4 linked regions of the Rhinolophus ferrumequinum genome follow. The protein of the gene in region 2 interacts with the protein of the main gene of each other region in a pairwise test. Links are inferred from orthologs where the notes say so. Each region holds a gene or a part of one and is shown on either strand. Other genes may lie near its edges.

Region 1 (7,054 bases), on a different chromosome or scaffold from region 2:
TGGTGAAAGCTCAAAGGTGGGACTAAAAGCAGAGTGGGACCAAACATGAAACTTCCTCAAGAATCTTGAAGCCAAACCCAGAAAGAAGTTTGGAAACCTAGGACGAGCAACAAGCAGGTTCTCCACCCCAGGGGCAAGCTCTGCTAGGTGCCTCTAGGGCCCTACCAGCCACGGTGCCAGGACCAGTGAGGCAGAACCACAGGGAAGGAGAGACTATTCTGCAACTCACTGACTGACTGGATCCTTTCTCAGAGGACAAATACATCTGGGCACAAACCAGGTGCAGCCCAAAGGGAGGAAAGTCATAGACCACGTGTTTTGCGACAGGTCTGTTTACTAAAGTTGAAGGAAGGATTGGAGGCAAGCATGAAGGGGACTCAAAAAAGATTTCATTGTAAGGGGTAGGGGAGAGAGAAGAAATGGAGTAGCTCCTTAATTGGAACACAGGGAGTCCTTTCAAACCACCGTTTCTCCCAGACTCCAAGCATAGTGCTCTTCCCACAAAGCCTCACTTCTCTCAGTTCCCAAGAATCTCTCCTATGCCCACAGAGGCAGCCTTGCCCAGAGAACCTGTGATTCTGGGGTCCTTCTCCAGTGCTAAGCCCCCTTACACATGTGACCTCATTCATAACAATCCAGGAGGGCACTATTATTACCCTTATTTTACGCACAACGAAAGCAGGGCTCACAGAGGTAAAGTGACTTGCCCAAGTCGTGGAGCCACATGTGAAACCAAGTCTGTTTGAGTCTGGAGTCTGTGCTCTGAAGCACCTAACTTGCTTTCCTCTGAGACACCACTGGCCATTGGCTCTTCTTTGTAAGCATTCCTGCCGGGGTCTCTCCTGCCCTAGACCTGCACACTGGGCCACCCCTCCTTCCTTCACAGGTCTCCGCAATGGGAAGTACTCTTCCCAGCATCTGGGTCCTAGATAGTCCCCAGGCCACCCTCTACTCCAAATCCACATTCAACTTGTCCCCCTCTAGGAGATCCCATCTCCCATGAACAAGTAAGTACCCAATGCCAACCCCAAATCTTGTCTCTTTCCTGACCTCCTTGTTCTCCTCATTCCCTTAGCCCCAAGGCCCAGGGTGCCCTCTTTTCAGAGAAATATCACAAACCCCGGATGCCAGAGGCCTTTCTTCTTACTCCTTAACCTCTCCGATCCCCATTCCCCAGTCCTGCTAGAAAGCCACCCTTTGGTAACACCAGATATACTCCCTCCCCATACCAGGGTCGCCCTTCTTCAGATAATCACAGATCTACCCTACCACCTCTCGTTCTAAGTCATACCCTGAGTGATGCAGAGGTTTCCTGCTACCTCTTGAGGCCTCCCGCCAATCCCTGGGCACACAAATAACTGTTTTGGGGGCCAAGGAGACCTCTCAGCCCCAGAAACATTATCCCCCATTCCACCCTGAGGTCCCCAGCCAAGTCAACAGGTTTTCTCTTTCCTTCCACATCCCACACACTCTATCCTCCCCGATATGTGCTAGGCCAGCTACACATTCCTGTGGACACAAGGATCCCGTCCCCCAGATACTCCACCGACTTCAAACTCCACCGACTTCAAACTCCACCAACCTGTTATCTGCCCCACCCCACCAACCCGCTCTTCAGACTGTTAACCCAGACCATTCAGCCTCTGATAGAAGCCTCTGAGCTTTCTATCCCCAGAACCTTGCCAGCTCTAGATCTTTAGGTCCCCTGTGCAGTGAAGCATCTTTCTCTCCCCTGCCAGTCTCCCACTCCAAAGCTCCCTATACCTCCTCTACAAGTCAACCAGAAGGTCCCCACATTTCCCAGCACCCAATGTCCCTGCCTCAGGGTTGGCCTTCAGCCCTGGATTTCAGAGCCCCTCAGGCCATCTTCAGACAGATGAGGTTCCCCCCAGTCCAATCACAGGGTGGTTTCCCATATGCCCTAAACGATCACCAGCCAAACACTAGAGCACCCGGTCCATCAGACCCTCCCCGGCCAGACATCACTTCCATCTCACCAACCCGTCCTAGTAGCAAATATGAAACTTCCCATTACCCCACCAAGCTGCAAACTCCAGCATCCTCCATCCTCAAAACTCTCCCAGCCCTGAACACCTGCCCTGAAAACACGGCTCCCAACGCCCAGCCCACAAGCTGGGCTAACACAGCCTCCGAGCCCACCCAGCTCCAAAGCCTAAGATCATCGTTTCCATGACCCTCCTGGGCTCCTGAATAGAAAACCTCTTGTTTTTCCGATTCGCTCAGCTCCCGAAACCACCGCTTCCGGTCTCCCAGCCCTAGGCTTCAGAATCCTCTAAATCCCCCCGGACTTTTCTCATCTCCGAAACCGAGGTCCCCCACGCCCAGTATCTCCCCTGCACCGAATGCCAGGATCCACCCTCCGGTCGTCCCGAGGCCCTTCTCCTGAGATTCTTTTTTCAGCGGAGGGCAGCAGGATCCCCCAATGCTCAGACTGTCTCCCCGACCTCAGGCGCCGGACTCCCGCGTCCCACAGCCCTTCCTCGGCCCGGACTCCGGGCTCCCCGGCCCCCGCCCCGCGCACTCTCACAATGTCCGTCCGGCCCCGAGTAGCCGCCAGGCTCCGGGTGCGGCTGCAGCCCGGGCGGCGGTGGCTGCGCGGTCCCCTCCAGCTCGGAGCCCCCCTCGGTCTCGACCTCCTCGTTGTTGTGCCCGGGTCTCCCCGGTTCGTCGTCGGCCTCGAGCTCCCGCTCGTCGTCGGGCTCCTCGGCCTCCAGCGCCGCCTGCAGCCGCTCAGCAAGCTCGGCCTTGAGGCCGCGAGTGTCCAGGCCGCGGCGCTGCAGCTCCTCACGAAGTTCGTTCACCTTCAGACGGCGCACATCCATGGCCCGGGCCCCCGGGGCGGCCCCCGAGCCCGGCCCTGCCTCCCAGGCCTCTGACCCCCTTAAACCTTTCCTGTCAGAAGGCGAAGGGGGAAAGGGGGGGGCTACTCCAATGGCCGCGGCAGCTCAAAATGGCCGCCGCCACCTCCTCCCCCTCTTCCGTAGTTTCATGCGATGCAACACAGGTGCCAATTGGCCACGGTGTGGGCAACCGGCGCGGGCCCGGAGTCTGAGCCAATCAGAGAGCGGCTTGCAAAAGAACGGCAATGGAAGAGCTCAGTAGCTGCTGGGGAGGAAGCGTTGGCCTACGTCGCTGCCGCGGCCCGAGCAGAGGGCGGGAAAAGACGGGAGGCGGAGCGCACGGTGATTGGGTAGCGACCGTGCGCTCGCTCCCGTAGGGTTAAATGAGGGGAAGGGAGTAAGGACTTAGGCCAATCAGCGATGAGATCTCAGAATGAGCGCGCCCCACGGCCTTTCCTGTGCAGCCCTTTCATCAAACTAGTGCCTCTGTAACACATATTCTAATTGGTCTAGATCTCTCGTCCCTACAACGAATTAAAAGGAGGGTCGGCAGACACCCCCACCCTCCACTACTGCCTTTAAGAAACCGGAAAGAGTTGAATTCACGAAGGGCCCGCCCCTTGCCGTTAGGGCGGTTTCAAAACAATCTGCCCACCAATCGCAATTATTGTTTGATCTCACTAAAGAGATTACAGTTGGATCGCTTTAGGAAAAGCTAACCAGATTGGCCATTCTTCAGCGGACTGCCTCACAAATTTCGCTATAGAGGGAGGCATACGAAATAAAGATTAAGTAGATAAGTTATTCTTGACGGGGAAGGAACTCAGCTGCCGTTTTGAAAAGCGACACATTGACTTCAGAGAGTCCTGAAGGTTTGAAAACAGAGGCTAGACTAACAACGGGAGAAAAGTTGTAAAGGAAATCGCACCGTCTCCCCTTGATAGAACATCTCACAGGGCGCCTCTTTCCACGAACGTAGCTTCGCAGTCTTCTTTCTCTATGGTTGGTGTTTTAAGTGGAATGGGCGCTCTGCACGCAACCATAGAGCCTTTTCCTTGAGGAAGACCTCCAGAAGTTCGCGGGTCTCTATCCCTAATCCTCTAAATTGCTGTTTAATAGATCTTGTTGTTTGGCGTCTGTAGTGACAAGCTCAAACGCATGGGTTCGTAGATAAGCCTCACGCTAATAAATACAAACGCTACAGTTTCACAGTATCTAACGCTGCACCATCTGTCGCCTCTAACTCCAAAGACACAAAACTTCTGTAAGATACACAATCGACATACACAATGCAAACGCCGGCTGCCCACTGAGTCTTACTTTAAATCCACAAAAGCTATATACAACCTTTACTTAGACAAAGGCACAGATAACACAGATAAATAAATGACCGTGAGATCAGATCAGATGCATCAATTCAGGGGATAATACACTAGACTTCAGTGTAGATGCGCCCACAAAGGTCCGCATAGGCACGCGGCATCGAATGATAAAGACACACAGGGCAGTTACACTACAAGCTTACACTACGGCGACCTAGACACGCAGGACCCACTCAGAAGCGGGACAGACACTCACGTGGGCGCGGAGATTCCAATCCAGACACTCCGCCCCTCGCCCACGTCCGACTTCCTTTCTCCTCCCAGCTTCCCACAATGATTTATTCTTTAAAAGTTTGTGGCCCGGATTGAACTGTTCTAGGTTCGCAAGAACCGCCACCGGGGGGCGTCCGGGCGCTGCCAAGGGCGCTTCCATCTGCCCAGGGGCACACCCAGGAATGTGTGCCCACAACGCGTGCAAAACACAGTGGGCTTGTCTTGGCAGGAGTTCCTCTGTGGGACAGTGATTATTGGCAGTGTTATGTGCCTGTGTTTCTATGTGAATCAGAACGTTTGGATCTGTGAGTACTTGTAGTACTCTCTCTGTCTCTGAGTGTTAGTGTCACTTTTCTGTGTCTGTGTTACTCTAATTTCTTTCTATTCTTTTCCTGGTGAGTATCTGCCTGTGCATATGTTTGTATCTGTAGTTTTATGTGTCTTTGTTACTGTGTCCAAACTTCAGTGTCTGTATTTGTGACCAGGTGTGCCTGAGTATGTCCATTAATTCATGTGTCTGTTAATTTGGGGGGTGGGTGTCTCCATGTGACCCTGAGTACCTATGTGCCTATTCCTCACTAAGGGTTTCAGAGAGTCTGCATTTCTTTGCTTGCATGTCTTTTTGTCTGTGCATATGTTCATTTCTACCCTCTTTAGTGAGGGGAGAACTCCTAGACCATACCAAACCCTTCTTTTTATGGATGGGGAAACTGAGTTTCCAGGGAAAGGGACCACATGACTGCTGAGAGGAGGCAAGAAGAGAAGAGACAGAAGCATGGTTACAAAGTTTAATGTGATCTGAGCCCCTCTGGAGGCACCCGAGTCTACACTCTGTACAGGGGGCACGAGGGACTGGCTCAGGGGGGCAGCATGGCCCAAAAGGAGGAAGATTGTCCCCTGCAGAAAGGAGGCATCCCTAATGCATTGCACAGGTTTGAGGAGGCACACCCCCACATGAGGGGAGGAGGAAGCAGAGGTGGCTAAGAAGGAGAGGGTCACACAGAAGACTACTATAAGGTTAGAACCTTGGAATTGTACCTTAGAATCCTAGACCTGTAGACCTTTAGAATTTTAACATTTGAATCTTGAAACTACAGTGCCTAGAATCTTAAGATTTAGAACTGTGGATTTTTGGACCCTTAACCAAAATCCTAGAAAGTCAGAATACAGCATAGAACCTAAAGGTGTACAACATTAGAAATGATTAGAACTTTGGTATATAGTTAGTCACACCCAGCTGTAGAGTCTTACTCCTTAGATGCTGAGGATCCAGAATCTTGGACCAATAGAATCTAGAGTGCTTTGGAACATGGAACAGAACAACATTGGAATCTTACACTTTAATAATCTAGAATCTTGAAGCACAGACACAGAGAACTTAGGTTCTTAGACGAAGTCTTAGTCACATCTTAGAACATTAGACCTTAGAACCTCCACTTGTAAATTCTTAGAACTTTTGAATTCTAGAATCTTAGACATTTAGGATCCAGAATCTCTTAACAAGAGCTTTGAGGATCAAAAGCCTTAGAGTCTATAATTGACTATTACTGGAATTTTAGAACTTGAGAAGATAAAATCTTGAAGCTTTGTGATCTAGAGTCTTACAGCCAGAGCATTTATACTCTAAGAGGCTTAGAATATCGAATTTTAGAATATTAGGCCTTAAAACCTCCATGTTTAGAAGTGTAGGATTTTAGAATCTAGAATCTTACACCCTAAGGAAAAGAAAATCTAGAATCATAGAGTCTTAGATCCTAGACCTAGAATCTTAGAACTTTGGAACCTAAAAACTTGAGGGCTTTATCAAGAATCTTAAAACCAGAAAAATCTAGAGCCATTGAATCTCAGAGCTTTAGAATATAGGCTTTAGAACTACCATGTCTAGAACCTCAGCACTTTCGAATTAGAGACTTTGGGATTTCAGGTCCTTAGAACCAAAGACTCATAGCCATCTTTAAAACCTAGAACCTTTTAATCTAGACTCTTTGAACCTTAGAATCCAGAATCTTGGAATATTGGACCTAGGAAGACCCTTAGGGATTGCAGTCCAACCCCTTCCTTTTACACATGGGGACACTAAGGTGTAGCAAAGGGAGAGGATCTGTGTGGGATGGAAGTGAAATAGGTTGGAAGAGAGGGCTGCAGTTGGGGGTAAGGCCTGGAATGGGAAAGTAGGAGGAGTCCCCCAGTGGCAGTGCCTAGCTTGTGTCCTGAGAGGGAGTCCCATGGGGAGGGTTGTCTTAGGCTCCATCCTCCTGCCCTGGGGGTGCTGGGGAGCCCCTGTCAGCGGGCAGGGTGGGGCCGGGGGCTGTAGATGGGCAGAGGACATAGCGTCCAGCAGGATGGACCTCAGCCGCGGTGAGGCAGCTGCAGGAATCCTTAGGGTCAGGCTGAGTTGGGGGGTCAGCTCCTCCAGCAGCTCCAAGTGGTTCAGCCTGGCTCCCACCCTCATCCATGTTGACATAGAGGATTTCGTCAGGTTCCTGGGCAGGGGGCAGGGCCTTCAGCGTGTTCTCCAGATCTTCCCGCAGCTCTGCAAAACTTGGCCGGTCCTGGGGGTTTAGCTCCCAGCACCGGGACATCAGGGCATACCTAGGA
Region 2 (7,369 bases):
ATTTTTTTGCAGACATTTTGGCAAATCTTCAAGTAAAACAGGTATAAAGGGCAATCTCCTAAACACTTTAAAAAACATTTATCACACACCAATAGTACAAGTTATACTAAGTGTTAAAATACTGGTCATTTCCATTCAATTAAGTATTAAGATAAAGATGTTCAGTATCACCATGATTATTCCATGTTTTGGAGACTACACTAGGAGAGATGAAATTATTATTTGCAGATGATAATATAGCTAGAAAGTCTAGGGAGGTAAGTAAAATTCTATTAGAGTAAGAGATTTTAGTAGGTTATATAAAAGATATATCAAAAATCAGGATCTTTTTTCCAGAAGCAGCAACAAATTAAAAATGTATAGGAGAAAAAGAGAGCCCACTCACAGTAACAAAAATTATGTAACACCCAGGAATAAACTTAATGAGAATGGTACAAGACTGTAGGAAAAACTTTCTAAAATTTCACTGGATATAAAATACAACCGGAATACTTTTTATTAACTAGTTAGCAGTATCTGTTATCTTCTCAACCACTCAAACTAAAAATTTGGAAACCCTTCGTTTCATCCCTCTCACTCTTTATATCTGAAATTAGTCACTAAATCTTGCCTATTTCACCTCATATACATTTCTGAAATTTGTCACCTCTTTGCTACCTCCACTTCAGTTATCCTAGTTATCCTTTGGAAAAACTCCAGCAAATGTGATATACTCCATACTTCTAGTTTTATGTTTCTCAAAATCACAGCCCATCCAGCTGCCACAGGAATCAATTTAAAACACAAACCTAACTAGATCAGGCCCCAGTTCAAAATAAAAAAGGTCACCACTGAATTCTGAATAGAGTCCAAGCTCAAAACTAATAAGGCTTTTAGTCATCTGGACCCAGCTTCATCTCCTCCTCTTCCTCCTTTTTGAGGCTTAAAATATGGCTCTGTGTTTCCCATATTAAGATATGCAAGCATCTCTGACTAAAAAGATGCTTCTCACAGCTATCATCATGGTAGGGTATACCCTACTAAAGTTACAATATCAATTTTTGGTGATTTTTCAGAAACATTATTTTGTATTAAAATGGATATTTTATGGAAGATATACAAAAAAATGTGTGACTGCTTAAGTTAAAATGCAAGCTCAAAGAAAGATGGCACTTACAAGAAGCTTTGACCCTTTCCCTGGGCTCAAAATGGGGACGATGATGACACATTTGTCATTACTAATGAAAGTCTCACATTACCAAACTGTTATCACTTCATTTGCCAAGGAATTAAGATGTAACTAACACATGCTGAGAACATAATTATGCCAGGTCACTGTCTGCACGACCTGACATGACCTCACCTCTACTATTCTCTCAACTCCAGTGGCAGTGGTATCCTTACTGTTCCTGACACATTGTCAGGCTTGCGTTTCAGGGCCTCTGCCCTTGCCATTCTATATAGAAATCTTTTCCCCTAGAGAGTATTCCTTGCAGTATTTCCTCAAATGTTGCTTTCTCCTTCCTGACCTCCCATTTCTCTTCTTCTCAGCCACCATTACATTAGAGAAATAATTCTGCTGTTATTTTTTTTCTCCATCTCACTTTCCTTAACTGACTGTGTTTATTATTTAGCGTTTTTTTTCCTAAGAGAATGTAATGGTAACGTTTTGTTTTATTGACAGTATGATTTTTATTTTATTCACTGAATCTATTACCTAGACCAGTGCCTAGCACATTGTAGGCTCTAATTAATTATTTACTGACTGAACAATCTTATGCAACAGGTATTACTGTTAGCCAGATTTTACCTTACGAAGAGATTGAAGCAGTGAGAATCTGCCTTAGATCACACAGGAAAAGGTAGAGGTAGGAATTGTAAGCAGACAGCCTTTACCATAACTTTACCATAACTGCATGGTGCCCCTAATTTATGTGGTGAATTCCATAGGTACTGTTTAGCATATTTCCCTTAGTAGACAGTTCCTTCCCAGCAGGAGATACTTCATTATCTTTGTTCCCTTACTGGCGATGTCTAGACGTCTAGCCCACTTTACACACTCAGTAATTGTTTACAGAATGAATGAATGCATATATACATTACCCAATGATTTTTACAGGTATGTCTAATTGGTTAGATTATTTTAAGCTTTCAGATTTAATTTTAAAATTGATTTTTAATATAAAAATACACCCTGCCTTTAAAAATAGTGATGTAAGGAATACTTCCTTTGAATTGACAAAACATGATTTCTGACAAATGGTTTAATAAAAGGATATATACCGTATTCTTACAATTTTCTCCAAACTGCTTTTTAAAGCTTTATTCAACAGTAGCATACATTAAGCAAAAAGCTCCAGAACCAGCTACTCGACTCATTTAATGACATACACATGCATATTAATTATCTGTGATCAAAAGCCGTAAATGACAGCGCCATTTCCATGGACACCGAGATTTATAAAACAATCAATCACGCCAAATAAAAACAGACACCTTCACTTACAAAAACTGACGCTAATGAAATCACCCTCGGAGCAATACCCGGCCCAGGAGTCACCCGCAGGTAGCTTTCTCAAATAAGTTTGACAACGACTACGTTAAGGGTATGACTAACTTGCCACAGAATCCCAATGGCCATAGGTTTACTCTGAGAAACAAGCATTTCTGCGTACAAGGGGTGGACACATGAGCTGTTAAAAAGGGACCCCTCCCAGGCCGCCTCAAAACCTAGAGCCCAAGATTCTCCTCCTCAGAGCTCCTCACCGTGTCTAGACTAGGGGGAAGCGACCATTTCTCAGGTAGAGGATGATGCGCAAAGGAAAAACTGGCTATCCAGCGTGAAGGCCGAGGAATCAAACGAAAACAGAGCGCACTGATGAACAAGGACCCCTTGCGTCTAACTGCCCCTTCACAGCTTGAGCAGCAATCGCATTTCTCGCGAGATTCTCGTCTTCCCGGGATCTCAAAGCTGAAACCTCGCGGCTTTTCAGATCTGAAAGGACAGCTCCCAACCCACTTCACGGAATCATCAAGCTCCTCGATCTCTCTGCCCGTACTCCCCTTCCCTCCATCTCCTCGACTCCCCCACTCCCCTTCCGTCATTGACAGTAGTCAGTACCCCAGGGTGCCCTGGGGTTTCCGGAGCGTGACCGGAACCGGAAGCTTCTGGGAGCGAGGGGGTGGGGTCTCAAATCAAAAAAAGCGCGGCGAAAGCTGGAAACTCGACCTGGCTGGGTCCAGGTGGTAGACGTTTGGCGTGGCGGTGGCGGGTCTCAATGGACTCCACCCATTGCTTGAAGTCCTTGCTCCTGACCATCAGTCAGTATAAAGCCGTTAAGTCGGAGGCGAACGCTAGCCAGCTTTTGCGGCACTTGGAGGTGAGGGGCTTCGCTGTAGTAATATTTAGTTTACCGTTCTGCCGGAGTGTAGCGGCCCCAGGCTAGAATAGAAAGGACAGCTGTCTTCCTCAGCTGTCTTTTTGTCTTGGTAAAGAAGGCGAGTGAGTATCACCCTTGCGTTCCCACCCTCTTCTCCCCGCCCCTAGTCCCTCCTTGTTCAGCTGGCTGCTGCGGGAGGGTCGAGTGACTGCTGAAAGTCCTAGGAAGAGGAAGGTTGGGACACAAGATTGGGGAATTTAGGCTGTGTTTGGGGGTGGTAGAGGAGAAAGCTCAAAGCCATATCTTTTCTTTTGCTTCTTTTTTTTTTTTTTCTTTTCCGTCGTCACAGAGCCCTGACAGAAGACACAGCGATTCTCAGGGGTGAAGGTGATGGGAATGATGATTAAAATTTGTTTTATTCCTGGTCCCTTAGGCTGTTTACAGTCTGAACCTGTTCCTTCCTGCTTTTATTTTAAATTCATGTTGACCTCGAACTTGAACAATACTATTTAAACTTTCTCTGGATTAAAAGGCAATCTCACTAGTAATCATAATAATTTTTCTTTACCAAAATACATTGCTCACAGCTTTTCAGTCCTAAAATACTGAATTGCTTTCATTTTTTTATTAGTTCCCACTGATTTGTGTCTAGAGTAGTTATTCAGTGTTATAACTTTTTTTGCTCTTCATATGCTGTCATTTGTTAAGCATTGATGGAATTCCGCCTAACAATGCTCTCAGTTGAATAATAAATAATTAAGCTCAATCAAGGCTTATTTTAATTCTCTGTGGCAGCTTCTATTTACATAAAGTATATTCTATTTGTTACATGAACCCTAAATAAAAGATTAAATTACCAAAGATTAGCAAAATTCTACAAAGAGAAGGCCATTGTGAATCAGTCTTCGGTGAAAGTGGAGTGCTTTAAATGTGTCTTTGTTCTCTCGAGCTTCACTTGGTGTTCTTTCTACTTCAGGTGCCCATCTCCTAAGTACATTTTCTTTTTCATTCATTACCTCAACAAATTTCTGCAAACCTAATAAAGATGAAGGTGTTAGCTGTTAAATGCTAATGCTTTGCTTCTTAATTAAGATAAAACACTGTACTAGTGGATCCAGAAGCCACAGAGTAAGCTGGGCTGTCAGTTTTGTTGTAAGATACAGAAGTTAAGTATTTCCGATATTAATTTGAAACATTACCTCTCTGAGAATAAACAGATATGTTGTGAATCTAACTACTATGTTATTGTGAATTGAAGGAGACTTCAAAGAAATTTGAGGCTTAGAGAGTGGCTTCTTGATAGTGTTCCAAACTTTCAGGGGGTTCCAAACTGAAAAATAATCTACCATTTAGAGAGAACATACATACAATGCATAACGTGCATTAATCTTCAGTAAAGATCTTGATAGGTTGTTTTTGTTTTGTTTTTTAACATATCTATACACCCAAGTAGCTACCACCCATATCATATATAGAACATTTCCAGCCCCCTATGAGGTTTTCTTCAATGTCCCTTCTCATAAAGTTCAGAGAAGTGGACTTATACAATATGTACTTTTGTGCCTGGCTTCTTTCAGTCAGTATAATCTGAAATTCATTTGTGTTGCACATCGGCTATACTTTGTTCTTTTTTTATTGCTGTGTAGAATTCCATTGTATAAATGCACCACAGTTTATATTCTCTGGTTGATGGGAATTTGGGTTGTTTCCAGTTTGGGGTAGAATTTGAATAAATCTCTTATAAATATTTTCATACTCTTTTTGCGGCTATATGTGCACTAATTTCTTTTATATAGGAGTGAAATTATAAGTCTTAAACAGTTTATGTTCAGTTTTAGTTGAAATTGCCAATGAATTTTTCACAAGTAAATACCATTTACCTTCCCACAACCAATATATGAAATTTGCTGTCATTCATCCACACCGATCTTTGGTGTTTTCAGATTTTTAAATTTCCACCATTTTGGTGATGATATTAATGGTGAATATCTTTGCGCAGACCTCATGAGAGCAACATGAGGATACAAAGAGAGACAGTTATCCTGTGAAAGAAGATTATTCATTCTGCTATTTTGCTGCATGTCTTCTGCTATATTTTTTCTTTATAGTCCCATGCAGAATCCCAGCTTTGAATTGTTTTGTGAAGGCAGAGCTGAACTGGTCTCAATCTTGATGATTTTTCATAGCACTAATCTTACATAATGTTTATGAGCATGGATTCAGGAACAATGAATCCCAATTTTGCTACTATCTCATTGTGTTTACTCATCTGCACTATAACTAGCCCCTATCTTGCAGGTTATGAAGATGAAAAGAATTAACATAATGTACCTAAAACAATGCCTAGGCCAAAGTAAGTGCTAAAGTATTAGTTATTACTGAAATAAATTATATTTGCCTAAAGCATTCAATGGGTATGAATGAGTAAAGAAGAAAATTTGTAAAGCAGTTTTAAAATGTACCTTGTAATAATTATTACATGTTAGAGTACTTATGTTATTGAATTACAAATCCAGTTCTGAGGGAAATTGTATTTAAAGCAGAAAATGTCTTAATCTTCTAGAGGACTAGCTTTATAAGTAGGCAAAAGAGCAATGTTCAGAAGATTCCTTACCGCAAAATATCTACTATCAGTATCTAATTTAACTTTTGGACCTATTTTTCAGTCTCACAGACTTTGTCTTTAATGTTAAAACACATAGTCCTTGGGAAAAAGATACTCTGAAGTTCTCTTATCAGCAAAGCTTTAGAAGAAAAACTCATCTAGGTGAGGGAATGAAAGGACATAGAAAGGAAAGATTAGAGGGAATCTAAAATAGCCTGCTTAGACTTGATCTTTTAAAAATGAAAACATTTAGAACAGATTTAATATAATTCTGAAGTAACTAATTGTTCTTCCATTTTTATAGAAAAGACGTGCTTAATAATAAATAACATTCAAAAAGCATTTTGAAAATAGGTGTCTGACAACTGTTTTTGTCCTTCAATCCCAGCTTTACCTTTTCAAGGGGTAAGGGGGAGAGTGGTTTGTACGGTTGTAAGAGAGGAGTAAAAAGTGGAATAACCAAAGGTAAAGTTTGTGCCTGACTTGGCCACTTAAAAAAATTTTTTTTTACTGCCTTTTTTGTAATTTCTAGCTTCTGGACTCAGCTACTATCTTTGGGAGGGAGCAGAAGTAATCTGGAATTTAATCCCATAGCTAAGCCTTTGGATTTAGCTACTTTTTACTTTCTATTGCCTCCCTCAAAGTAGGTGGAATGAATGTACTGGAATTCATTTATTCAATAAATATATTAATAGTAGAGTGTTGATTTGTAGTCTATGCCTTTATGGAGTGTTCAGTATAGTAGGGAGGATAAATACTATTAGGTCGCCAAAAGTTTGCCAGTTTATGAAACGTACTATAGGATAATGTAATAGGCAAATCTAACCTAGCTGGTAGAAGAGGGTTAGAGGAAGCTTCTTGGAGGAAACAAATTAAAACTGAAACCTGAGTGATTACATTAATTAGTGAGAAAGGGATTGGTAATATTCAGGCAGAGGAAACAGAATGTATGAATTTTCTAAATTAGGAAAGAATGGCCGTGGCACTTTGGAAGAACTAAGTTTTTATTAGAAATGGTAAAGGGAAGAAAACTGCCAATTTTTAACTAACGCATTTTAATTACTATTTTGTAGGTAATTTCTGGACAGAAGCTCACACGATTATTTACATCAAATCAGATATTACCAAGTGAATGCCTGAGTTGCCTTGTAGAGCTACTTGAAGACCCAAACATAAGTGCACCATTGATCTTAAGTATTATCAGTTTGTTGTCTCAACTAGGTAATGTATTTAGTTTCTCTTTTTCAGTTTTTAGAAAATGTATGAATTTAATATTTTTAAGAGGCAAAATTTAGGCATAGAATCTTTCAGCGAATGATTCACATTCAGAAGATTTCTTCTTTGCAGGTCCTTTCAGAACTATTTTTCTTTGTGGATCTCTTGAAAAGGGAATCTTGTATGCATT
Region 3 (7,187 bases), on a different chromosome or scaffold from region 2:
CAGAACAATCAGGTAGGTCAGCTGAACATCATGGACAGAGAACTGTATAATGGGTTGAAGTCAGTTATACAGAGAGGCATCCAGTGATGGCCTGCAGGGTTTGGTCCTCAGCTTGGTCTTATTCAACTTTTTTATAAATGATTTGGATGAGGACCCAGATGTGCATCTATCAAACCTGTAGGTGACACAAAGCTGAGAGGGACAGCTAATACGACAGATGACCGAATCAGGAGCCAAAAGGTCTTGACAGCCTGGATCTCTGTGTCAATGATGAGGTGAAATTTAACAAGGGTAAAAGTAAGTTTAACATTTACGTCCAGAAAATCAATATAAATATGAGTACAAGACAGGGGAAGCTTGGAGTTGAAGGCAATTCAAATGGAAAACACTTAGGCTTTTTAACTGACTGAAACCACAGAATTGGTCAAAAGCTGGGAAGTTAGAAAGGAGTAGGGTTTAGCTTCATAAATATTATTTTCCCTTTAGTTCAATATAAACTTTTTGATAGATTTGAAAAACGTAACAGGCTACTTCAGGAGGTGAATATGTCCAACTGGAGGTCTTGAAGCCAAAGTTAGATGACTACCCTGGATGCTGAAGAGAGTAATGGAATGTAGGGGGGTGTTGAGTGGAAGAAATCTACTTACATATGAATGTGAGTACATGTAATTACAATTTACAAAGTGAAAATAATCTCATTTCAATTGATTTAAAGTTAAGTCCCTGAAGATCTGCTGCATGGGGAGTTCCAATTTAGGCTTTTTTGTTTTCCTGTTACATCCCGCCTTTCCTCTGTAAGTCCAAAGACTTTTTCCAAGACAACAGTACTTTCTCACTTCTCATGACTAACTTAAAAACAGTTTAAAATCTGTTATTATAGAAGATTTCCTCTTTACAAATAAAATTAAACCTCTTTGATAACTATAAAACTAAAAGCAAAGGCTCCTTTTCTGCTTTTCCCGAAAAAATTTTCCCCAAACTCTCCTGGACGGCTCTAGCCTCTAAAGGCCCGCCTCCTCTGACTCCCTGGGGACTTACAGTCTATATACCCTGACAGCTTTTATTATACACCATATGTTTTCTTAGCAACAAAAGCAAAAGCTCCTAAAGGTAAGATTTGTCTTTTACTTCTGTGTAGCTCATGTACGAAATACAGGCATACTGTAGAAACAGAACATTTGTTTAACTTACTGATATTTCTAAAATAAGAACTAGCAATATTCTTTAGGCGCTACAAGTCCTACTCTCACTTCATAATTAGAGTGGACATTGGTTGGTTTGGCCAATCTAGCATTCATTACCTCCTCTGAGACTACCCACCCCGCTCATCATTGGTTTACAGAAATCCATTCAAGCGCATTGGGAAAAGAAAGAGATCTAAGTCAATCGGTTTCACAACCCCAAAGACATGGTCTAGGGTTGGGCACGTAACCCAATCTACACCAATGAGATGCCACCAACTTGAAGCTGAGAGGATATAAAGGGTCCTAGATACTGCAGCCATCTTGGGACCAAGGGAACGAACATATCCAACTATGGAACTGACACCCAAAAGAAAACACCTGAGAGTTAGAGTGGACCCTGGTGACATCATTTAGTCTGCCTATTAAGTATCATTATCACTCCATTCTTGATCTCAGAACTGACTTCAAAGCCGTCTTCCTCCACTAAGCATACGACATACCCTGACGTCCTCAATCGATACCCTTATGCTCAAGGACCTCTTCTCATCTGGCATGAGAGACAGTCTGATGGAGGGAAGAGAATGAAAAGGGCCCTTAGAATAAAAAATGTAAATAAAAAATATATAAACATATATGCTAGCAGAATGTGAGTGATATATTCCAGACGTACAAATGGTGATGGCATGAAATGCCGAGAGAATGGAAAAGTGGCAGACATTTGGGTGTGAGGGTTGATAGAAGAAAAAAGGCTTTACAAAAAAGGGGCAATCGGGAAGAACTCCTGTATTATATGTCCACGGCAAAACTTTTGTGCCTCTCCCTCTCACTCATTCACCATAATGGTCATTTTTCAGTTCTGGAAAACTAAATTCTTTCCTGCCTCAAAGCAATTATTCCACCGTCTGAATGCTCTTTCCCTAAATCCTCTCATGACTGGCTCCTTTCTCACACTTTCAATCTCTTCAAACGTCCCCTCTTCAGAAATACCTTTCCAGTCCAACCAACCGAACCTGGGCCTTTCTCTTTTTCCATCACCTCTTATTTCCCTCAAAGTTCTTATCACCAACTGTATTTACTGAAAATGTTTAGTTTGTCAACTCCTCCCACTACTAGAATGTAAGCTCCCTGAAAGCAGGGTTTGTCTTGAATACTTCATCTTTATACCAAAATCTGGCAGAGTGGTAGGTAATGAATAAGTCAGTATTTATTGAAGACAATGAATGGCAGAAAGTGAGACTATAGCTCGGGAGAAAAGTTGGCGTTGTTGTAGTCAGGCTGTTCCTAGGGAAGGCAATAGAAAGGGGGCACGAAAAGCCAGCTAGGCTAGAGTCTGCAGACGTCGGCGAGCGTAGGGGGTGAGGACAGGGCTCCAGGCTTCCCCCGGCCAAGCGTGGGGTGAGCGGGCAGCCAGGTGGGCGAAGGGACACAAACTACTTAGCGACTAACTCCTGCGGTTCCCTTCCGGGAAACCAAACTCGAGGCTCTCTTCAGAACCCCCCTAGTGCCGCCCCGGGGATCTTACGCAGCCCTCTTCTACGAAATCGCTGGCCCATGGGCACCAAACTTATTGCCCGCGCCCCCCGGGACCAGGCAACGGGTGAGAAAAACGGCCACCCTCTGCCGGTCCCCACTGAGAATCCGACACTGGTCCCGCATCTTGGCGCCCGCTCACCCGCCGGCTGACGCGCTTCTCCCCGCCCCCCACCCCCGACTGAGACCCTCACTTACGCTTGTCTCCGGGCTATGAGCCGATGCATGGGAGTCGCCATCTTAGTGCGGTTAAGGCCTGCCGCGCTGGGTTTTGGGAAACTCCTGAGGTGGGCGGGGACTTCGAACGGTAGCGGACGCAAGAGTGGGCGGAGCTTGTCCTGCCTCGTTGGCTTCTGGGACTGGTTTTGGGGCAAGCAGTGTGCTGCTGTGTCTGCCTTGTGCGTGTCTGGTTTGGGGAAAGGGAGTGAGGCCCACTGTCTGGCCTGAACAGGGTTTTGAAGGTTGGGTACTTGTACGGTTGTTCAAACCCTTGAACAACACGGGTTTGAACTGTGAGGGTCCATTCAGATATGATTTTTTTCAATAAGTACATTTGGCCTTTCTTATCCACCAGCATCCACAGGCGTCGAATCCATGGTTTCAACCAGCCGAGAATCAAAAACTGTTTTTGCATTTCCAACCTTGATTCCCAAACACAGGTGGAAAATACTGTTTTTGATCCGCGGATGTGAAGGGCCTACTGTAGAGTCAAAAGTTGTGCACGGATCCCGGGTCCGGGCCTCCCAACTGCGTTGTTCAAGAGTCACCTGTATTTTGCGTAGAGAGGCAGGAAAGAACGTTCTTCACAAGGAAATTGTATGTGTGTGTGTGTGTGTGTATAATTATATGTAAATGAATAATTTTATATGTGTAGATAGTTATATATGTATGAATATGCACACACAAAGAAGAAAACTGCAGTGTTCAGAAAACGACTTGGTCTGGAAACCAAAATAAAAAGGAATGTGTTGAATAGGATTGGAACCATCATTCGAAAGACTAAATTTAGCAAACCCAAAAGTGAAAATACATGTTAATTATATTTTTGTGTATTTCATAGGGATGTTACAAGGACCAAATGATATGTAAGTAAAGATGCTTTGTCAACAGGAAAAAGATTATACAAATACTATTAATTATTTGGTATATTTTTAGCATTTAGTGTCAGATCATGGAGATTTTATTACTTTAAATCCACAGTCTTTGAAACAACTTTTTGAACTATATATATATATGTATGTTTCTGAGTCTCCATTTTTTTCAATTAATATTTATCAAACACCTACAATGTATTAGGAACTGAGGATAAAGCATTGAATGAATAAAGTTCTTGTACACATGGAACTTTCTGCAGACAATAAACAAAGGCAATGTAGAGCGTAAATACTCTAAAGAAAAATAGTTGAATGTAAGGGGGAGAAAAGCTATTTAGCATTTGGAGATAGACTTTTAGTACATCTTTCTATTTTAAAAAAAATACAGAGTGTTACTATCTGTTCTGTTCTTCAGCTTGCTCTTTTCATTCCTCAGTGTACTTATGGACATCTTTTCCTGTATCAGCACATACAGATCTAATTCATACTTTTTATATATTACGTTATATGGCTATTCCACAATTTATGCAACCAGTACTGTATTGGTGAACAATTCGATCATTTATCACAGAGATGGAATGAACAGATATTTAACCACTCACCCGTGTTTCTGTACGATGACTTCCTAGAAGTAGAATTGCTGGGTCAAAGGATATGTGCACTTTTAATTTTGATAGATTTTACCTAAGGCCCTATAAATAGGCTGTACCCAAAACTGCTTCCTCACCTGACCTGAGAACGGTCAAACTTTGACTTTTGCCTATCTAATAAGCCAATAGGATGTATTACTGATGAGGTTAAGTACCTTTCGTATGATCACTGAAGACCTATCTTGCATGAGTTATCTTTTCATGAAAGATAATTCACAAAAAATAGCAAATTCTCTGCTATTTTTCTATTAGGTTTTTATCTTTTTAATGTTGACTTATAGAAACTTTTAATATTTTACGTACAAATCCTTTGTTTTACATGTTTACAAACATTTTTCCTATTTGTTCTCTTTTCATTTTGTGATCATTTACCCTATAGATAGGCATTAAATTGTTATGTGGGCATTTTTAACAATCTTTTTCTTTATGGGTTCCTAGATTTGGCTAATGTTTAGAATGGCCTTCTATGTCCTAAAATTATTAAAATATTTTCTTGTATTTCATTGTAATTATTTAACTACAACTATGATTATATTCTTAACCCTAATTTTTAGTATTTGAAGCACCGTTGACTAAATAATCTATCACTTTTTTATTGATTTAAAATGCTACTTTCTCATATACTAAATATGAACAAATTTAGTTTGTTTGGATATTATATTTTCTTCCAAAGTTCTATTTGTGCCAGTATTTGTGTCATTGTTTGAATTTCCATTGTTTTATAGGACATTTTGATATCTGATAAGGCAAGTCCCTCCTAATTAGTCCGTTTTCCCTCAATTTTTTTGTTGCTCCTAGGCATTTACTTTCCTGGATGAGCTTTATTCTCAAGTTTTCAAGTTTTCTTCAAAACAATATTGAGATTTGGGGGTGGCCGGTTAACTCAGTTGTTTAGAGCGTCGTGCTAATAACACCAACGTTGCCAGTTCGATCCCCGCATGGGCCACTGTGAGCTGCATCCTCCTTAAAAAAAAAAAAAGGACAGGAGGGCTTATTTAAAAAAAATAATAAAAGCAACAGCATTAAGATTTATTAGTCAGCTAATTTTAAAAGAAATTGCATTATAGCAAAGGTGAAAAGGCAAGACACATATGAAATATAACAAATCAAAAGGAGGAAGCTAATGAGATTATTTGTGATGATTTGTTTGCACACCTGGAAAGCCTACAGGAATTAATCAAAAACTTCTAGAGAGTTCAACATAGGAGTCACACACACAATACAATAATAACTCTGTTTATTAGTGGCAAGACCAGACCACTGTAGCTGTTTCCCACTGAGACTCATGGGCTTGACGGACCCTCAGCTTTGTCCAGAGGCAAAGGCTACAATCCAAATGCTAGGTTTTATAAACCTTAATGGGTAGAAGCTGAAAAAAAAAATTAAAAACCCTTGGGAAAGCAGCAAGTAACTTCTATCTGGCAAGAGTGAACACTTTATTGGTCTTGAAGCAGACTATTCCTTTATTCTAGGGAAACCTCCAAGTGTCTTCCAGTTATGTATGTGTGATGTCTCAAAGAACTCAGGGAAGGATGGATATAAAAGGCATATGTGAAGGGAGAGCTGCATCTCTCTGGACTGGGTTGCTTTTCGTCAGGATGGTTGTTTCCTGCCCTGACCCTGACCTGTTTATGGGCACCTGTGGTTAGAGCTGAGCATAGAACAGGGCCTGCTTTGTGGGCACACAAATTACACAGCACACAGGGCCTCTCCTTAGAAAAGTCCCACACTTGGCTTGATTCTCTGCTACTGCCGTGTTGAAATTCTTAAAATCTTTTGAATAGGAAGTCCCGAATTTTAATTTTGCACCTGGCTCTATACATTATGTAGCTGATCCTGCACCAGAAGTTGGTAAATGTATTTTTACAAGACACTGTGAGACTGAGCTTAATGAAAACTTGCTCCACCAGGACCAGCAGAGGAAAGAGAAGTGATCCTCCCATTTTTCTTAGAATTCAGAATCAGTCTTTTCTCTGAAGATTAGTAGCTATTGTCAAAAAACTCCCAAACAAAAATGAAACCAAAAAAAACCCACTTTTTTTTTTTTATCCTGGTGCAAAATCAAATGTGGGTTCTCCCTTCATATGCCTTTGCATATAAGAAAAAGACAGTTATTTTTCTTCCAGTAGGATAAGAAAATTTGACTGACTTGGCTCATTAAGGGAGAAGTTCAGAGCAGGGAGACCATTTGTTTTGTAAAGAGGGGGTTGGGGGAAGGGCTTTTAGGCACCTGTGGGTATAAGGCTCTGGTTTTCTGAAAAGAGGATGGCTTTTACACCCATCTCTGGGCGTGGGGGTGAGAGTGGTGCCTGAAGCTCCCTGGAATGGAGTGAGAGCTGCCTTTCTTGGTTATTGCCACTTTCCAAGAGGGCTTGAAAACTACATACTCAAAAGCTGTGTCACATCCTCTTATCTTCAGACACACCTGCTTGGGTTCCTCAGAGTCCTTGGGCCTTGATGCAATACTTTGCTGTGACATACATAGCTGTGAATCCAGGATTTGTTGGTTTCCTCTCTGGTCACTTCAATTTATCTGCAGGAGAGAAGGAAGTTGACCTGCTGAATGAAGCAGAGATGAGAGGCAGAGAAAGAAAGAAAAAAAAACACCTGCCTACACCTGATATTTTCTCCTTGAATTCTTTGGGTTATCATAGCTTCCCTTCAGTAAATCTCTTTTGTGATTAAGATGGTTCAAGTTGGGTTTCTGGTTTTTGCCCCCAAAGAATTCC
Region 4 (7,153 bases), on a different chromosome or scaffold from region 2:
CAATTGTTATGAGAAAAGAATCAAGCTCCTACAGTGTGTCTAGTCTAAGAAATCAGGTGAAGGTGATAATCCACCCCCGCCACACACACACGCGCGGATAAACAAAGGGTTCTGGACAAAAGGCCCACACTCTTTCATCCTCTAGTCCACATGGAATTCTGGTCCTCACCACAGTGCCTTAGAGAATGGAGCTCCCAGGATGCCCATTTAAGCTGGTTTTCCACAGCATCGAGCTCAGAACTTGGTAATCCCTGAGCTTCTTCTTGAGATACAATCTCCTCAACTAGCACTTCCCGTTTTCGTCGACGGAGGGAAACCTGGAAATAACAAGATTTGATTCAGTTGATGAGGAATTTTATGAAAATTAGAGCTAAACACACATAAGAGAAACCATACAAAACATATACTGTAGTTGAGCGGAGTTGTTTCAAGCAGCCTTGCCCACTGCTATGTGAGTGCTTCTCACCCAGGAAAAGTGACACAAGCAGGCTCACCGGCTGTCCAGGGTCATCTAGTTCACTCTCTAAGTCCTCCAGCACCGTCACTGCCTCCTCTCCATTCTCTGGATGATGCTCTCGAACCCAAGTCTGCAGCTCCTTGGGCAAGATGGCAACAAATTGCTCCAGCACCACCAGCTCCAGGATTTGTTCTTTTGTGTGGGTCTCTGGCCTGAGCCACAGACGGCAAAGTTCTCGAAGCTGGCTAACAGCTTCACGGGGCCCTGGCGAATCCTGGTATCCAAACTGCCTGAATCGCTGTCGAAAAACCTCTGGGTCAGGGAGATGGTTCCAGGGGATACTTGATCCCTCTTCGCCATCAGGATCCTCCTCCAACTTCACTCTCAGAATTTTTTCATCTTCATCCGGTGTTGGGATGATAAGTATTGAATCTTCTTCCACTGACTGTGCAGACATCCTGATTTATAACACTTCAAAAAAAGATAAGGCAGGATACAGGCTTCTGGGAAATAACTCCTTTTCTTCACAGTCTCTCCTGAGGTACAAAAACATATATTTATAAATGACCAAATATCCTAAGAATTTGGATACATGCTAATAAAGGAAGTAAAAATATTTCTTCTTTTACTGGTTTAAAAATTCCAATCAATAACCTACACCAGAAGTTGGCAAACTACAGCCCATGGCCAAATCTGGCCTGCTGCCTGTTTTTGTACAATGCTTGTATTAAGAATAGTTTTCTCATTTTTACATGGTTGAAAACAAAATCAAAAGAATACTTCATGACATGTGAAAATATGAAATTAAAATGTCCACAAATAATTTTATTTATTTGTTCACAATTCACACCACAGTGGCAGAGTTGTGTAGTTGTAACAGAGACTATCTGGCCTAAAAAACCTAATATTTACTATCTGGCCCTTTAAAGTTTGACCTACAAAAGCAATAAACCTTATTTCAATAACCAAAAGAATCCAAGTTAAGAACCAGCCCACCTCAGAGTTTTCTAAATGCATTCGACCCTGGAACACCTTATTTGCAATTCAAGACTGGCGTTCCCAGCCAACCTTAGGTCAACTCAAAAACAAGGACACTTTTTTATTATCTGCTTAAGGAAAACATTTTTAAGACCAAATGTGTTTTTTAAAGTGGAAAGATATTTTTAAATGTTTAAGAACTCCCTAGACTTAAAATATATGTGAAAAAGTATTCACTTGCTCAGGAAAAGATAACATAATGTTGGAAAAAATTAGCCTCCCGGAGCCATACAATGCAAATATTATAGTCACCCACACCTTAACTACATTTAAACTTATCATTACAGGCATTAATGACCACAAATTCTACGTAGAAAAGAGACTCTCACAACCACCGTAACTTCTTACAGTGGACCTGAATCTTGTCCTTATACTAGATGACTCACAGTTTTCCCAGCTTCTACCTTCAGGGAAAACCTTGTGCTACTTCTGATGCTTCCCTTAGTTATTTGCACAGTCATGCCAGTGGCACTGTTTACAACACATATTAAGAATGAGACATGCAGCTACTCAATTTATCTGTTCAGGGCCCAGAATGTGAAAACCACTAATTTCAAAAAAACTTAACTGTAATCCTATCCAGATGAAGACCAGGGATCAGAAAAGATCTTATCAGGCAGGTATCACATACAAGGTTACTCTGGAATGTGGCCTTACAAATAGGATTCAGCCAACAGATTCGTTCCTTCCTATTCCAGAACGCTACCTTCGCAATGGCTCAAGCATTCTATATGAAAGAAATCTCTTCTATGTTCTTATCCCGCACTCTGATCAAAGGACGGGAAGGAGGTGCCGGGAGGGCAGGCCCGCGGTCCTGACAGTGTTTGGGTGGGCAGCCTCGTTCCACATCTCCCCACCTCACTCCTGCAGAGTTCCGCTGCGAACTCTGTCCCCGCCCCGACGTCCCCCGAACTCTCTTCTCCGCAGTAGCGGCGGAGTATTTCAGATGACCAAAGGCCACCCTGCCACAACAACGTCGGGGACACTGCACTTCCGTCCGCAGCCCGGGGAACTACAAGTTCCGGCAGCTCCCGCGCAGGGCCCGCCCTCTCCCACCTCCTCCCGAAACGAGTCCCAGAACTCTCCGCGAGACGCCAGCGCCTCGAAATAGAACAAAACCGGCAGATGGGGGAGGGGGAAGGCGAGGGTCGCGGAGGACACAGGATGGAGAACTCTCCGAGGGTGCCCAAAGCCCGAGCTGGCCTTTCGTCTGCCCCTTCACGCCCCGCAACTGCTGGGCGCCGAGACCGTGGCCTGTGCGCCGCACCTCCCGGGGACCCGAGGAAGGTACCTGCCAGGTTTCTTCGCTGGCTGCTGCCAAGCAGCCCGCAACCCCTAGCCCAGCGTCCCCGTCACGGTTTTACCTCAGTCTGGCGCAAACCTCCGGCTCAGGAACCTTAGCAGCTTCGCTGTCCAGGGCAGACGCAGAAACGCCGCTCACAAGCAGTTTCCCAGAAGCCCCCTGCGCGGGCTGCTTCCGGTCTGCGGGCCCCAGGAGGCGGGGAGAGGCGAAGCCCCACGTTGCCATGGAGATGCGCTCCGGGTGGGGGAGGGGCTGCCTAACGACAATGACCGCTTTGAGGTTTGGCTTGGCCTCGTGCCTCTCTCCTCAGATAGCCCAATGTTCTGTGTTCCGCTTAAAAGGCAAGGAAAAGAAAGAGAATTCTGCCGTTAGGATAGTCTGTTCGGTTTCACAAACCCTTTCACATGCATTTTCTCATGTCGTCTTCACAGTAATCCTCTGAAAGAAGTAATAAAAGGTAATATTTATGAATGCTTACTACATTGTGCCATGCACCATCACCATGCTTTACGTGTATTGTTACTAATCTTCACAAAAACCTATGATGGAGCCACTTATTATCCCCATTTCACAGCTGAAATAACTAAGGCAGAAGTAAATAACCTGCCAAGAGCTCATTAACTATTAAATGGGAAGCAGAATTTGAAACCAAAGCATGACTCCAGCCTTTGGCTCCCACTGGCTAAGCTACAGAGCTTTATTTTAACCAATTTATCTATTAGGGAAACAAGATGAGACATGTTAGAGCTTTGGCAATGATCTAACATTGAATTTGCAGAATGCACGGTCATCTTCTGACTTCAGGCTGGACATTTTATGCCATAAAACAGTTGCTGAGTGATCATTTAATAACGTAAATCAAACTACTTCATTCCCTATTTAAACGCCTTCAATGGATCCCCGCTGCCTTAAGTATGACATAAAAACTCTACATCCACCTGCATGGCCCCCTGTGGTCTGTTCCCTACCTTCCCTATCTGACCTCAGCTTAGGCTCACCATGGCCCAGCGTCCTCAGTCTCACTGCCCACCTTTCCTCCCGGCATCCTTTGCAGCATCATCTCACCCTGTGTTTTGTTTCGTTTTCTTTTGTTTTTGTCTGTAAGTCCCATAAGGGCAGAGAACTTGTGTCTTGTTCACTGCAGTATCCCCACCTAATCCTAGGATGCTGACTGCCAGGTACATAGAGAACTCAATGGATGTTTGTTGAATGAGTGAATTGTGGGCTGGCTACATTCCTGCCTTTGCTCGGTCACATGTCAGGCATCAGAAACCACACAAAAGATCCCTGTTAAGGTCTATGTTAGAAGTGTAGGTCCAGCCTTCCAGACAGTGCAAGATCTGCAGGCTTTGGCTTTCTGCCTCGTTCAGGACAGTGACCTCTGCAAAGTACCCTCAGCATCTGATGGATTTGTGAATGAGAGAACAAGTCAGCAAGCAGCTGATGATAAAATGCTACTTTACACTTTGACTGGAACTTCCTCTCCACAGATCCCCTGCTAACTCTCATCCTCTTCTTTCTTTGATCATTTAGGAGGCTTCAGAAATCCAGGCTTCACTCTCCTACTTGGCTACTGCCACCAACCCACCTTTGAAAGAAGAGAAAGGTACTCTTCTACCTTTTCCTCTTTTGTCACCCTAATGGCTAGCTCAAGGCATTTTTATTTTGTTTTGTTTTACATTAAGAGTTTTTACATCTAATTAATGTTGGAAAACAGGAAAGATTTAAAAAATCAAATAGAAATACTTAAGGAAATTTTAAATGTTGCAAACTTTTACAAAGCCCTTGCCTGGGATTCCTTTCTGTAATTCCTATTTTTTTCTAAGAGAGTAAATACTACAATGAGGTTTTCCTCTCTAATTTACTCTTTTGAAGACAGGGACCAACACCCACTTTGAAACACTATAGTTCTGAGCCCCCCTATGTGGACTCTTTCCAGAAAGGTGGTCCTCGTTGCCATCTTCAAGATCTAGTCAAGATAGAGCTTCTTGTTCCCCTGGGCAACCTGAGTGTAGGGAATAGCTTCATGCCAGTGCTGGATAACCTTGCATATATCTACATAGGCTACATAGGCAAGGCGAATCTGAGTCTTGGCAGAATACCTTCTGGAACATGAGAGCATGAATGGCTTGTAAGGAGCTGCTACAAGGCCATTTGCACTTAGTTCCCTGTCCTCCAAGGAGGGTGTCATGAGACAGTTTCTTATTGCTTCCTGTGATAAGGCTTTCTGCTTCACTCCCACTACAGTACAGCTGCAGACTATAAAAAGGCTTAGCTGCAGCTCGGCATTAGCCCCTCAGCACCGAGGCATTCCACAACTCATGTTGCAATCATCCAGCTCCTTTTGCTTTGTTGTATGACAAAAGCTCATGAGGAACTGGTACTTATGGCTACTCTTGCTTTCACTGTCTGTGTAAGCAATAATCTGTCTAAATCTAAAAAGGACTCATTGTTTCTTTACTAGCCAAAATTTTCAACCTTGCCTTAAAAGCATCTTATTCATTAATGGAAAACAACAACAACAAATAAACAAGCAAAAAACAGATACTACGTAGGTTCCAGAGAACTAAAGATGACTAAAATGAAGTCATGATTCCTTTTTTTAGCATCACCATCTCATTAAGGAGATAGACAAGAAAACAAGTATTTACAAGACAGTGGAGAAATGCTTCAGTAGAGAAGAACAAAATACCAGTAGGGGCACTTAAATGAGCTCTTGCACTGAGGGGGAATGGAGACAACCTGAGATGGAGGGAGGGAAGAAAAGTTTTCACTTTGGAAAAGCAGCACAGACCTTCAGATTTGGTGTTATCAGATTTTTTTCTAAGAATAATCTTTTCTAGGCTTTTCTCTAACAATTATCGTGGCGCTCTCAGTCCCTCCCTTCAGCTCAAAAGTATGCACTTTAAGTACGCTGGTTAAAGATTTCATTTTAGCTGATAAATGCACTGCACCAGGAGTCTTGATTGCAAGTGACAAAAACCTAACTGTGGTAGGCATTGTTACTTTCCTACACAAAACACTCCCCTAACTTCTGATACACCCCTGATTTTTTTGAATTGGGAGGGTGCAACACTGTGCCCAGCCATAGATAATAAGTTGTGATTGAACTAAGCCATCTATGACTATTACATTTGCCAGATACTTTGCCTCACTGGAAGCTAGGAATGGTCAATGGGATGTAAGGGGAAGTAGTTTGGGTCTTTCAAGAAATTTATCTAGTTCATATACATTGTCAAATTTATTGGCATAAAGTTGCTCACAATATTTCCTTAATATCCTTTTAATGTCTATAAGACCAGTAATGATGTCCCTCTTTCATTTCTGAAATTGGTGATTTCTGGTTTTCTTTTTTATCAATTTTGTTTAAAGTTTACAAATTTTATTAATCTTGCAGAGAATCAACTTTTGGCTTTATTTGCTCTGTTATTTGTTTGCTATTTCATGGAGGGCTACTCCTTTTAAAACACTAATATACAGTAAAATTGGCTCTTTTGGGCATATATTCTGTGAGTTTTAACACATGTATAGATTTGTGAAACTGCTACCAAGATCATGATACAGAATATTTCCATCATTCCATAAAACTCCCTCAGGATGTACTCATAATTTTCCTACATCCTTAACCCATGGCAACCACTGACTTATTATCCATCACACATAGTTTTGACTTTTCCAGAATGTAATATAAATGGAATCATAAAGTACATAACCTTTCACAAACCTTTCGTTTAGCATAATGCCTCTAATCTTTCAGCATAATGACTTTAAGATTCATCTAGGTTGTTGCATGTCTCAATAGTTCATATTGCTGAGTATTGCTGAGTAGTATCTCACTCCAGGTATCACAATTTGTTCACCCATTCAACCATTAAACAACTTTTGGGTTGTTTCTGGATTTGGGTAATTATGAGGAGAGCCATTTAAATACTAACAGACAGGGTTTTGTGTGAACATAAGTTATTTCTCTAAACATCTAAAAGTAGGATTGCTGGGTCATATAGTGTTATAGACTAAATGTTTGTTCCTGCCCCCCAAATTCCCATGTTGAAGCCCTAACCCCCAAATATGATAGTATTTGTAGATGGGCCTTTTGGGAGGTAATTAGGTTTAGATAAGGTCATGAGAGTAGGTCCTGTATGATGGCATTCGTGCCCTTATAAGAAGAGACATAGAAAGTTTGCTTCTCTCTCTCTCCATGTGAGGACACAGGAGACGGTCATCTGCAAACCAGGAAGAAAGCCCTAACTTGGGAACCAAATCAGCTTGTATCTTGATCTTGGACTTCTCAACCTCCAGTACTGTAAAAAAAAATTCCTGTTATTTAAGCCACTCAGTACATGCTATTTTGTTAT

Evidence for each region.
Region 1: the proteins of DZIP3 (region 2) and HNRNPUL1 interact in binary tests that used the Homo sapiens proteins (3 or more experiments, as listed by UniProt). The link is inferred for Rhinolophus ferrumequinum from reciprocal best matches to the Homo sapiens genes DZIP3 and HNRNPUL1.
Region 3: the proteins of DZIP3 (region 2) and ZCCHC10 interact in binary tests that used the Homo sapiens proteins (3 or more experiments, as listed by UniProt). The link is inferred for Rhinolophus ferrumequinum from reciprocal best matches to the Homo sapiens genes DZIP3 and ZCCHC10.
Region 4: the proteins of DZIP3 (region 2) and ZNF24 interact in binary tests that used the Homo sapiens proteins (3 or more experiments, as listed by UniProt). The link is inferred for Rhinolophus ferrumequinum from reciprocal best matches to the Homo sapiens genes DZIP3 and ZNF24.

The regions. Positions count from the first base shown.
Region 1 is NC_046298.1:39,590,642-39,597,695, reverse strand, and holds the start of HNRNPUL1 (heterogeneous nuclear ribonucleoprotein U-like protein 1), read right to left. Parts: upstream 3,006-7,054; 5' UTR 2,844-3,005; coding exon 2,549-2,843; intron 1-2,548. Other genes in the region: AXL (tyrosine-protein kinase receptor UFO), read right to left, coding at 6,697-7,048.
Region 2 is NC_046285.1:36,204,485-36,211,853, reverse strand, and holds the start of DZIP3 (E3 ubiquitin-protein ligase DZIP3), read right to left. Parts: upstream 3,013-7,369; 5' UTR 2,746-3,012; intron 1-2,745. Other genes in the region: protein CIP2A, read left to right, coding at 3,258-3,359, 7,038-7,185. UniProt on the Homo sapiens protein: E3 Ubiquitin ligase proteins mediate ubiquitination and subsequent proteasomal degradation of target proteins.
Region 3 is NC_046307.1:9,250,607-9,257,793, forward strand, and holds the start of ZCCHC10 (zinc finger CCHC domain-containing protein 10), read right to left. Parts: upstream 3,004-7,187; 5' UTR 2,954-3,003; coding exon 2,913-2,953; intron 1-2,912.
Region 4 is NC_046302.1:29,354,174-29,361,326, forward strand, and holds the start of ZNF24 (zinc finger protein 24), read right to left. Parts: upstream 3,009-7,153; 5' UTR 2,860-3,008; intron 994-2,859; 5' UTR 915-993; coding exon 495-914; intron 318-494; coding exon 170-317; intron 1-169. UniProt on the Homo sapiens protein: Transcription factor required for myelination of differentiated oligodendrocytes. Required for the conversion of oligodendrocytes from the premyelinating to the myelinating state.